Linked DNA regions of Caenorhabditis elegans. The protein of the gene in region 1 interacts with the protein of each later gene in a pairwise test. Each region holds a gene or a part of one and is shown in the gene's direction. Other genes may lie near its edges. The genes, in order: ubc-20, mgrn-1 and nhl-1.

Region 1 (3,755 bases):
TATGTTCCAAACTATTTTCTTTTTTGTTGTTAAATTTCATTTTTACGCGTTGAATAATACATTTGTTGATTAAAAATCTGGAAATTCTTCTCAATACTATGGCGAAGTGAAGGGCATTGTGACCATTTTTCCGGCTGTCGACTTGAATGGCTCCGCATTTGGCGCCAGGCTCTCCACCCACGACAGGAGCGTTCTGGTGATCGTTGCGTACGTGGTGAAGTCCACTTGGGAGGAGAACGAGGTGAAGCAGTCGTCGAGGAGAAGTTGGAGCTGAAAGTTGGAGAATTTCGACTTAAAAATCTGGAAATTTCAGTAAATTCTAACCATTTTGACTTGAATCGTGGACTGGCCGGCGTCAGGAACCGAAGAAGCCATCTGCTCGTACTCTGAGGCAATCATTTCCAGTGCGGCCGCTTGTGCGTTGAGCTGGGCCAGTTGCTTGTCGGCGTCGGAGATGTCGGTTTTCAGTTGGGACATGAAGTCGCAGGCTCTGGAAATTATTGAATTTTCGGGGAAATTTGCAGAATTTTGAAGGTTTTTAAGCAAAAAATGGGCTTAGCAGACTGGAATTGTGATTTTTCCCGCTGAAAAACACGAAATTCTTGAAAAAAATCGTGCTTTTTAATGTAAAAAACTTGAAATTGTCATCAAAATTCGATAATTTCGCAATTTGGGTATGCTAAATCCACGTTGGTCTGCTAATTATTTAGCAGACCCAACTATGGTCTGCTAATTATTTAGCAGACCCAAGTATGGTCTGCTAATTATTTAGCAGACCCAACTATGGTCTGCTAAATATTTAGCAGACCCAAATTTTTATGTTTTCCAGTTATTTTTCCTTCAATTTTTCAGTATTTTCAGCCAGTACCTGAATAAAATCGCGGCGTTTGTAGTTTTACATCCCAGCGAAGTCGTTGTCTGAGGAATTAAATCCTTTAAATCACTGTATCCGCTCTGAAAAGTTGAAATTTTAGCTTTTTTCCACGAATTTCCAAGCTTCAACAAACATTTATAGCTTCTCTTCGCTGCCGTTCACACCTCAAGTGCGTCGCCTTCTTTCTATCCGAGCTAAATCCGCCGGAATTCGTCGCTGGCGTGTTTGGGGCCGATGGGGAGCTCGCCGAGCCGTCCGGCGACATTAGGTCCATATCGTCCGGCTTTTGAGAGGAGCTGGCAGCTGCGGAACGGCTTCGAGACATTTTTGGGCTGAAAAACAGAGAATTTCAGTAGAGTAATTGGGAAAAAAACGAAGAAAAACGCGGATTTTTGAAATTTGGGTCTGCTGATTAATTAGCAGACCTAATTGTTCCCTGGCAAGATTTTTTTTGAAGATTTCAATCAATTCTAGATATTTTCTGAACGGGTTTCTCAATAAACAAATGGAAATTCCCTCTAAACCTTGAGAAAATTAGAAGTATTTCGGCAAAAACGTTCAATTTTCTTTTTTGAGAAAAATCATGATGCAAAAACTAAAATTCCTATAAAAACTTAATCAATCTGTGAATCGATACTTCCGATCACGGGTTTGATCGTTTGAACCCGTTTTTTCTCGGCGACAACGATGCTCCGACTTAACGCACGGTTTTCTCCGGTTTTTCCGGGTTTTTGTTCAATTTTACTGTGATTTAAGCAATTTTTCGCATAAAAATTGGTTTTTCAACATTTTTCTACATGATTTTTGATTTTTATTCACGAAAAACGATGAAAAATCGATGAAATTCGGGGAAAAACAAAAATTTCAGTTGCAAACGATGCTCCGAAATTCCGCGGCGCGCCCTGTTTATCATGAGTTGGTGTTTGAATAATTTTGATGATAATTTCAGACTTTCTCGAAGCTTTTTCGATAATTCCTTGAACTTCATGATTTTCGTCGATTTTTCAGAGTTTTTCCACTATTTTCCATCGTTTTCAGACCATGTCGAACATAGCATTCAACAGACTCCAACGAGAATGCAAAGAGGTCGTCACAAACTCGGAAATCAGCGAAACCGGAATTATGATCGAGATATTGAACGAGAATCTCACCGAAATCAAGGTAAAACGCCGCGAATTGTGTGTCGGAAATCTCAATTTTTATCGGTTTTCAGGGACACATCCGCGGTCCACCAGACACTCCATACGCCGGTGGAATGTTCGATTTGGATATTAAGATTCCAGACCAATATCCATTCTCGCCACCAAATGTACGAGTTTTTCTGCCTGGAAAGCTTGAAAATTGTCGAAATTTGTGTAAAAATCGCGGTTTTTCAGGTCAAGTTCAGCACAAAAATCTGGCACCCGAATGTCAGCTCGCAGACCGGCGTCATTTGCCTCGATATTCTTAAGGATCAATGGTAATATTGCGATTATTATTTTAAAATCGGAAAATTTAATTTATTTTCAACTTCAGGGCCGCTTCGCTGACTCTTCGCACGGTTCTCCTGTCGATTCAGGCGTTGATGTGCACACCGGAGCCCAAGGATCCTCAAGATGCCGTCGTCGCCAAGCAATACATGGAGAAGCCAGCAGTTTTCAAGGTAGCAGCGTGGAAAATTCAGAAAATTCGCGGAAAAATGGGGAAAATATTGCGAAATCCGATTAAAAAATCAATATGGGTCTGCTAAGTAATTAAGTAATTAGCAGACCCAAATCTTCCCTTATTTTGTGTGTTTTTTTGCGTATTTTGCCCCAAAAATTATCTATAATTTCCCATTTTTCAGGCCAACTCGAGTTTTGAAGCGTCAAAATTGAGAAAATTCGATGGGAAACGTGCAAAATTCGTTAATTCCCGAATTTTGGAGACAATTCTGACTGTTTTACACTGAAATGCACGATTTTCTCGGAAAATTATTGATTTTTGCCCTGAAATTTCAGAATTTGGCCGATTTTCTTTAGAATTTGGGTCTGCCAACTAATTAGCAGGCTTGTAGAAACGCCACGTGGTTTTCGATGGTCTGCTAAATATTTAGCAGACCCAAGTATGGTCTGCTAAATAATTAGCAGACCCAAGTATGGTCTGCTAAATAATTAGCAGACCCAAGTATGGTCTGCTAAATATTTAGCAGACCCTAATCCCGTATTTATCCTTTAAATTTAGTTTTTTTCGCGGAATTTACTGGTTTTTTCTTGTTTTTCAACCAGGAAATCGTTCAAATTCATCACTTTTTGTCCCAGAAGCCGAGAAAAATCAGTTTTTCAGCTCATATCGAAATTTGTTTTTCAAAAAGAAATTATAAAAAAGTTTAGCAGACCCAAAACTCAACAAATTTGGCGAAGTTGTTTTTAGTCTAAAAACTCGAATTTCCCCGAAAATTCGTTGTTTCCAGTGAGTGTAAAAACTCGAGAAATCTCAAAAAAAAAATTGGTTTTCATTCGAATTTTCTCAATTTCCACGCTTGAAAACTTTAGGTAGCCTAGAAAATAGACAAACATAGACAACATAAACTGAATAATAGCCTAATATGCTCTTAATATACTAAATTTCCACCATTTTTCAGGCCACCGCCGAGTACTGGACGACAAAATTCGCAAAGGGAGCCGTGAAAAACGCCGGATACCAGGCTCTCGTCGACAAGCTCAAGGATATGGGAGTCCGTGAGGAAGAGGCTGTCAGCGTGCTCAGCTGCAACAATTGGGACATCAATCGCTCGACGGTCTACATTTTCTCTTAAATTCTTTTTTATTCGATTTTTTTGAATTTTTTCTGTGAGCCTCTTGTCTTGAAGTTTGTGTCCTAAAAATCCCTTATTTCTTCCATTTTTTTCCGAGAAATTTTC
Region 2 (3,755 bases), on another chromosome or scaffold:
TGCAGTTAGCCACCGCAATTGTAGGATGACCTTTTTGTCTCTCCGTGCCTATTGACTTTTCTTATTACGTGTCCTGTTTAGTGTATAGTGACCAACTCGATTTTGTTCATGTTTTATCATTTCATCGTGTTTTGTACCACTTCATTAACTCCTCTTCAATAAAATTTTCATAATGTACAGCAGATGAAGCTATGTTTGCCTCAAAATCAACTTTTTCCGATTAGTTGTATTTGATAATTCCACAATATTTTTTGTTTATCTTTTGATTTTTTATTACCAGGTTACAATTACAAGTTAACTTGAATGTTAACTGACTAAGCTCTATCATTGAAAACAAACTTATTGAAGTATACTTCTACAATGCCAAAAACTGATTTTAATCAGATTCCTTTTCCCTTCCATTTTTTTTCAAAACCCAATGAAGTCTGAATTCTTTCATATTTAAGGATATTCTTTGATCTATTTTCATAGTTTTCGAGGTATTTTCATGAAAACTTCGTAATGTTTCTTAGATTTTTTGGCATTGTAAATTTAACTGCAATACTTGATATTTTCAAAACTACACTGAAATTGTCATAACTTGTAATAAACATAAGGGCTTCAGTTTGTATTTATCTCTATCCTTACTATTTTTTTTTATTGCTCCAGATTTCAAAAAAATAAATAATCAAGTGATAACCTTTGCACAAAGGCAAACATGGAAAAAGTTAGCCAAATGTTATCGTTCAATTTTTAATTTATGTATCAAGTTTTCAAGAAAAATTTAAAGTTCGACTGTTGATAACAACATTTCAAAAAAATCTGAAACCAAAAATTGTAGATCAGTGAACATGTAGCTTTTATATATATTAACTTTTTATAAATAAATTCGCTTTATGCAATTCATAAAAAACGGTGTACATTTTCACAATTTATTACTTTAATTATAAGAGGTCAGTAATGTCGTCGTTTGTAATGCTTGCGTACTTGCTTCTCCTCCTTTTAAGCAACCGGTCTAAGGGTGTGCGATGAGGACGAGGAAGAGACGGAGACAGCTGAATTGGAGTCTGAGGGGCAATTGGTGTGTCTGCGTCTGCACTTTTTAACGTTATATTTTCCTGCCTCCTAGGCACAACACAGCCACCACCCTATACACCTCCCATTGCTTTTCTTCCGTCGGTCTCCCGTACTCTTCTCCCGTATATACCGTTTACACGATAATACGCTCTCTCTCGTTTGTTGCCTGCTTGTAAATTGGTGTCTCTCTTCTCAAGGACTATCGATTTTTTGTAATGATTTTAATTTAATGATGAAGTGAAAAAATGCTAAAAAAATATCTGTTTCTGCTCATTATTATAATAAAGTAATCTACTAGAAATAGAGTCTCTAACCAAACTTATTCATAGCTTCAGATCATTTTTACGGCTTTCACTGGTTTTCTTAATTCCCAAAATATGCTAATTTTTTAGAGCTCGTTATTTATGTTTTATCTCTGTTTAATATATCAAATATTTGTATTTTTACTATAAGCTTGAGTACATAAAATTTCGATGCCTGAAAATAAATAAAACAAACGGTTTGATTAAAATATAGTAAAAACCTCAAAACTTTTTCTCACCTGTTTTATTTGCTATATTTTAAGTACCACCATTTTTTCGAATTATAATTCGTATTATCAAAATTTACTTTCTCAAATCATTTTAATTCCACCGCTTCTTTCACGATATTTTGGGTTTCTCACCAATTTTTTATCGAGCCAAACCAGTTTCAAATTTCTCGCGTATTATATATATTTTTTAATCATTGCAAATAACATAAAAGTATGTTAAAAATCAAGCAGAAGCAGTTCTGGTTTTCATTTTAGTGATTCTGAGATTCGAAGTATAATATCAACCAATTGCTATTTCATATTTCCATTTAATAATATTCTAATACAATTCCTCTACTCCTTTTTTTGCATTTATAAAACTTCCTAAAATAATAAATTATTTTTTATTCACAGGTATTGGCCAAACTATGGGTCAGATAGCCAGTGTGTTCCGGGGGAGGAACACACACGAGCGGGGAAACTCGCACGATGATGAGGACCCCGAAGCACAGATAACGTTCTCCAACGCAGCTGGTGAGTTTTAGAAAGTATATGCTACATTAGTCAAGAATATTTCCTTCTTAGAAGAAATTTTAAAATTTTAATAAAATGGGTTGAAATGAAGCATAGAACTCTCCAATAGGACCAGATTAAAATTTTTTTTTTGTTATACTATGTTTCTCTTTCGGTTTTTAGTCTGAAAACGTCTATTCTTTTTATCCAAAAAATACAAATTAAAATCACAAATGAAGAAAAATTGTAAATTGCTTTTTATTAATACTTCAACTTACAGGATCGTACTTCGGATCACACTTTCTCATGTGCGGTTGCAAATTCGAAATGGCACGACCCGAGGCCTACCTATTCGGAGAGAATAGCGATCTGGATCAACTAGGCTCCAGAGCCCTGAGTGTAAGTTTTGATAAAAATTGATTCGAAATATAGAGGAGCAATATGGAAAAATGATGAAAACGTAAAGTATAAAAATTAATAACTGAACTGAAGAAAACTTCAAGAAATCTAATCGGCACCTTTTCAATTCGGCTTCATCTTTTAAACAATTTTTTTGCAGTTTCCTTATCCACCTGGACCGTTGGGAAACGATGAAATCAGACCACTCAACCTTCTTGTCAATATTCGAAAAGAATCTGTTAAATTTCAACGGGTAAAAAAGGATAACGGAGAGTTGAATGCAAACCTGTACCAACTCACTTTTGTATTCGATTGTGACAGTGCTTGTGTGATACAAGTACACTTTCACGCAAAGGAAATGTATCACGATGGAGAAATTCAGTAAGTTTTTGAAGTAAATTAGTAATTGAAATGTTGATTTTTTTCAGATTTGCATACCGGAATCGCCGACCACAAAGCTCTGAAACTTTTCATTTCGAAACGGGTGCTGATCAGGTGTTTGGAGGATATGTTTTTGATACCTCACGATGGGATACAAATGATGTGAGTCTATATTCGAGAATTCTTTTTGAAAAAATTTGGAAACAAAACAGACACAATTTAATTACTATTTTCAGCTTTCATATTCTTCTGGTCTATACTATCCATTCGTCATTTCCATAACAACGTCAGGCGTAGAGAGCACTCAGATGCAAACAACAATGTGTACAATTGAGGTATTTTTCTGTAAAAATGTTGGAAAACGACAAATCTTGTTATTCTTTCAGACCGGTAACGACAGCAGTAAAGCGTTGGTGTTGAAACCTTTGCGACAAAAAATTGCATGTGATGGAGTCACATATCTTCTTCAGGTATGATTTCGAATTATTTTGAATTAGCCAATTAAAAATTCTGTACAAAATAAAGACATGCAAGGCGAGAGAAAAAGTACCAAAAAATGGAATTCTCCAAACTTTGGCGCTGATCTCACTGTTTCTATTCTTGATTGATTGCATTTGCGCTTATTTTTCGGTGAATCATGAGTAGAGTTAAATTTGTGAATTTAAAATGATTTTCCAGCTTCATTTTTGTAAAACCACATGATTTCAAAATGCATTACAACCAGATTTGTCAAATTAACCGTTTCAGGAAATTTTCGGAATTGAAAACAAGTCAGTTGAAACAATGGATGACGACAGTGGTTTGGAGTGCATTATCTGCTTATCAGATATCCGTGATACCGTCATTCTCCCGTGTCGACATTTATGTGTATGTAGTAACTGTGCTGATTCATTGC
Region 3 (3,755 bases), 9.0 Mb from region 1:
GTATTAATATTGAAATTACAAAGTCTTCAAAATTTCCAAAAAGAACATACAGGAACATGTAGAAGAATTTCCAGTTTGTGAGTACTGAACTATTTCCAAATTTGATAAAAGTGACAGACTTGTGAAACCAGAGTTGGCTATCGTTATGCATCCAACTATTTTTGTGACATTTTCCAGCTTGTATTCAACGATCTTAAACAAATTATTGGAATCCTATAGTGTTTTGAATAAATAAAACCTCAAACGGTGGCATTGTTGACTCGAGACCCATTTGAATATGTCCATGAATTGTTGTGCAGTTGTCGGGTAATTTGTCCAACTCACATAATGGGCAATAACAATCTGTAAATGATATATTCAAAGTTATCAAAAGTATTACCGATTAGAATGATATTTAAGATTTTTGCATTTGGCAATTGGAAAATAAAATTTAAAACGCAGTTTTTTCCCTATTAGACTTGCACCATCATTTCTCTATTTTGACGGCTCATATTTCGGATTTCTTAAGTGAACTGTTTCAAAAACTGTTTCAGAATATAGATCAATATTTAGCGCGTATTTTGTCAATTAACAAATTTTTGATAAAACCAAAAAAAACCGAGATAAGCTGGACAGTTAGAAGAGAGTAGTAATTTCTTATAAATTTAATTGTTATCCAACATTTTGCGAAATTTCGTCTCTAAACCAAAACTAACTAAAATAGTAATATGTTTACTATTTCATTTTCACTTACCATCTCCAATTACAAAGTGATATAACTGAGTAAAAAGAGCGGCAATAAGTGGCCATTGCATAAATTCCAGCGCGTTACTCTTTTTCGTTGCAACCAGACGATAGACAAACAAAACTTGTGATTAGATTAACCAACTCAAAAACTGCTTTATTTTTTATTATTTCCGCCCACCCTCCGGAAAGCGATTGTCATAGTAACCAGCGAATTTCGCACGCCTTCTAGCTACTGCACTCGCTGGTTTTTTTTTAATGAAAAATAGTCGAAAGGTGGTTAGTGGGAGTTTTGAAGATTACGTAATTATAGAGAGCAGGATGCTGAACTTTCAGATTTTATTCAAATTATATGATCATTAGTTTCAAAAGTTTACCAACAAAAAAGACAAAATAAGTACATACATACGCTTGAAAAATCAAATAATCATGATTTTAAATACAAAAAAAGGAATTTCGGGAAATTGTCAAATCGTCAAATTACCTGAAAAGTTTAAAAAAATGTGCTTTAAAGAAAAATACTCAAAGTGTTATGAAAATACCACAAAAATAAAAAAGAATGAACAAACCAAAAAGGCAAGTTTCAATTGTGACTGTTCTCCATTTTTAAACTTCTTCCAAAAGTATAAGCCACGCCCATTTTCTAACCACTCAACGTCTTCAAACTCTACACAATCGTCCTGATTGGTTGAAAAGTGGGCGGAGCAAATCACTGATTGGTCAAAGTTTTTATTTCGGAGGGAATTCAAAATCGCGGTTTTAATAGTTCGAATTTCCATTTTTCTGCGGTTTATTTTTCGATTTTATTTTGTGGTTTTTTGAATTTCGGACTATTTTTATGTTTTAAAGAAACATCCTAATTTTAATCTACACTTTCAAGCTTCTGAAAATAAATACTGAAGTTCAATTTGTCAATTTCTTCTCAAATATTTCAACGTTCAGGACAGTTATCATAATCTTCGAGAACCAACAAACCAGCTGCATCTTCCCGCCGTTCATATCCTCATATCTTATTGATCTTTTTTTCAAATTCCCATCGGTTTCAAAACTTATGAGTAAATAGTCAAACAAAGCCTAAAAACCAGTAAAAGACTCAACCAAGAACTTTTCAAAATCCGATCCGCGCACCCCACGCACACCGATTGATATCGGCCGCCGCTGTGTTTGCAGGAGATGGCTGGGGGCGTCTTTCGTCTGTTGCTCCCCAGATCTTTCTCCAACTTCTCTGCGTCTCAAATCTTTTTTGGCTCCCGGGAGCACTCGGCACACTCATCCCCAACTCTCCAAGTACACCCCACTTTATTATTATATTCGATTCGTCTTCTCGTTCTATCCTGTTTTTTTTTAATTCGAAATTCCAATATTTCTAAAATTCAATCCTTATGAGCAGTTCTCCACAAAATGAAGCAGAAGCTCGCGAAAAGGTTTGTTCTAAAAAATTTATTTTTTTAAAGAAAATCTTAAATTCGTCGTTTTCCAAACATTTAAAAATTAATTTTGTGGACAACTGGAAATGAAATATACTTTAAACATCTACAAAAAATAATTATTAGAGACATTCATTGAAATTTTTTATCTTAAAAATATTGGTAACCCTATAACGGTCCTTTGAGTTTTAAAACTTAAATTTAAAATTTTTGTCAATTTTCAAAATTTTTATATTTCGTTTAAGCTCCCTATAGGTGCTGTACAAATTTTCTTTATTTCAAATAGACATTGCAACTTTAAAGTAACGTTTTTATTTTTTAAATGAAAAGTTATTCCACTGATTTTGAGAAAAAGTTAAGTCCCTGTACAACATTGATTAGTTGATTAGTGCAATCATCTCTAACCCACATGACCCATAGATTCTTTCAGATGCGCGAGCTGATGTCACGTCCACCATCGAGTCGACCAGCTGATTTTGTGAATCCTCTCGAAAAGATCGAGCAGTTGCTGACGTGTCCGATTTGTCTCGATCGCTACAAGTAAGTCTGTGATCTCAATCAGCTGTTCGTTTTGAAAGTGAGCAGACGAAATTGAAAGAAGAAGCACCACGGACAACCAAAACAAACTATTAGTGTGTAGTTCAAGGATAGACATAGGCCGTGTGACTTCTGACTGACCACTGTTATCATATGACCTAGGCTAAGTACCGCTTGGCTGAGGGGAATTTTTTTGAAAAAACGAGATAGACTTAGGGGATGCATAATAAACATCCGGTTGTTTACGCACTGTGCATCAAAACAATAATAAAATCAGACAGACTGTTATGATGATTAGCTAGGAGAACGTTATGGAGAAATCAACAATCTAAGATCCTGCAGGGATCTTTTAAAAATGAGGATCATTTTTGGGTTAAATCAACAACGTTTGTGTCAATAAATATAGACTAACCTACGTCAGAGTAAAAAGTGGAACATTAAAAAAAAGAGATGTTTCATTGATCTGTTATAGATGAACAAATGTAAACATCCATTTTAAAAACGAGAACCTTTTCTTGTAAAATATTTGAATAATACACTTATAGTCTCAAAAATAAAATAAAAAAAAGTAAAAAATTTGAATAACTTTGCACGAGACCTCAGACAATCATGACAAACATTGTATTTAGTGAACGTAGGGGTAAAGTTTTTCAAGCTTAGAAGGTGTAATACTATGATATTTTTCAACTCGCCATTTCTTGTTCTGTCTTCTCAAGTTTAATTTCTCAAGTTTTATCTTGCTAACTTTTTATAAATCTTTTTGTTTTTGAGAAAGACGAGTAAGAAGAGTTGGCGTAGTATTTTAGCCCACTAGGAGTGTTTTTAAACATTTTTTCTCAATGGCGATTATCTTCAAAACTCAACGTTTTTATTGAAGTTTCCTAATCATAAGTTTGCCAATTTTTTAGATTAAAAGCTCTAGCTTTTGGGCTATAACCCGGTGCTCATTGAAAATTCACAAAAATACCTCCTGCGATAAAAGAAACGTTTCAAATATTTTTTTTTTCAATTCAATAGATGATTGGAATTTTTTTCGAAATCTTAGAAATCATATGACAATATTTCAAC

What was found.
Region 2: the proteins of ubc-20 (region 1) and mgrn-1 interact in a two-hybrid assay, tested with the Caenorhabditis elegans proteins (one study listed by BioGRID).
Region 3: the proteins of ubc-20 (region 1) and nhl-1 interact in a two-hybrid assay, tested with the Caenorhabditis elegans proteins (one study listed by BioGRID).

What each region holds. Positions count from the first base shown.
Region 1 is NC_003281.10:186,926-190,680, forward strand, and holds the start of ubc-20 (UBC core domain-containing protein), read left to right. Parts: upstream 1-1,912; 5' UTR 1,913-1,915; coding exon 1,916-2,035; intron 2,036-2,087; coding exon 2,088-2,183; intron 2,184-2,250; coding exon 2,251-2,333; intron 2,334-2,389; coding exon 2,390-2,516; intron 2,517-3,476; coding exon 3,477-3,650; 3' UTR 3,651-3,755. Other genes in the region: mxl-2 (Max-like protein homolog 2), read right to left, coding at 97-270, 325-490, 869-954, 1,008-1,199.
Region 2 is NC_003284.9:14,309,910-14,313,664, reverse strand, and holds the start of mgrn-1 (RING-type E3 ubiquitin transferase), read left to right. Parts: upstream 1-1,981; 5' UTR 1,982-1,995; coding exon 1,996-2,101; intron 2,102-2,179; exon of another isoform or gene 2,180-2,236; intron 2,237-2,360; coding exon 2,361-2,479; intron 2,480-2,639; coding exon 2,640-2,860; intron 2,861-2,907; coding exon 2,908-3,022; intron 3,023-3,096; coding exon 3,097-3,195; intron 3,196-3,246; coding exon 3,247-3,330; intron 3,331-3,607; coding exon 3,608-3,755.
Region 3 is NC_003281.10:9,152,155-9,155,909, reverse strand, and holds the start of nhl-1 (RING finger protein nhl-1), read left to right. Parts: upstream 1-2,007; 5' UTR 2,008-2,105; coding exon 2,106-2,147; intron 2,148-2,580; coding exon 2,581-2,690; intron 2,691-3,755. Other genes in the region: Protein irld-34, read right to left, coding at 51-192, 239-342, 734-794.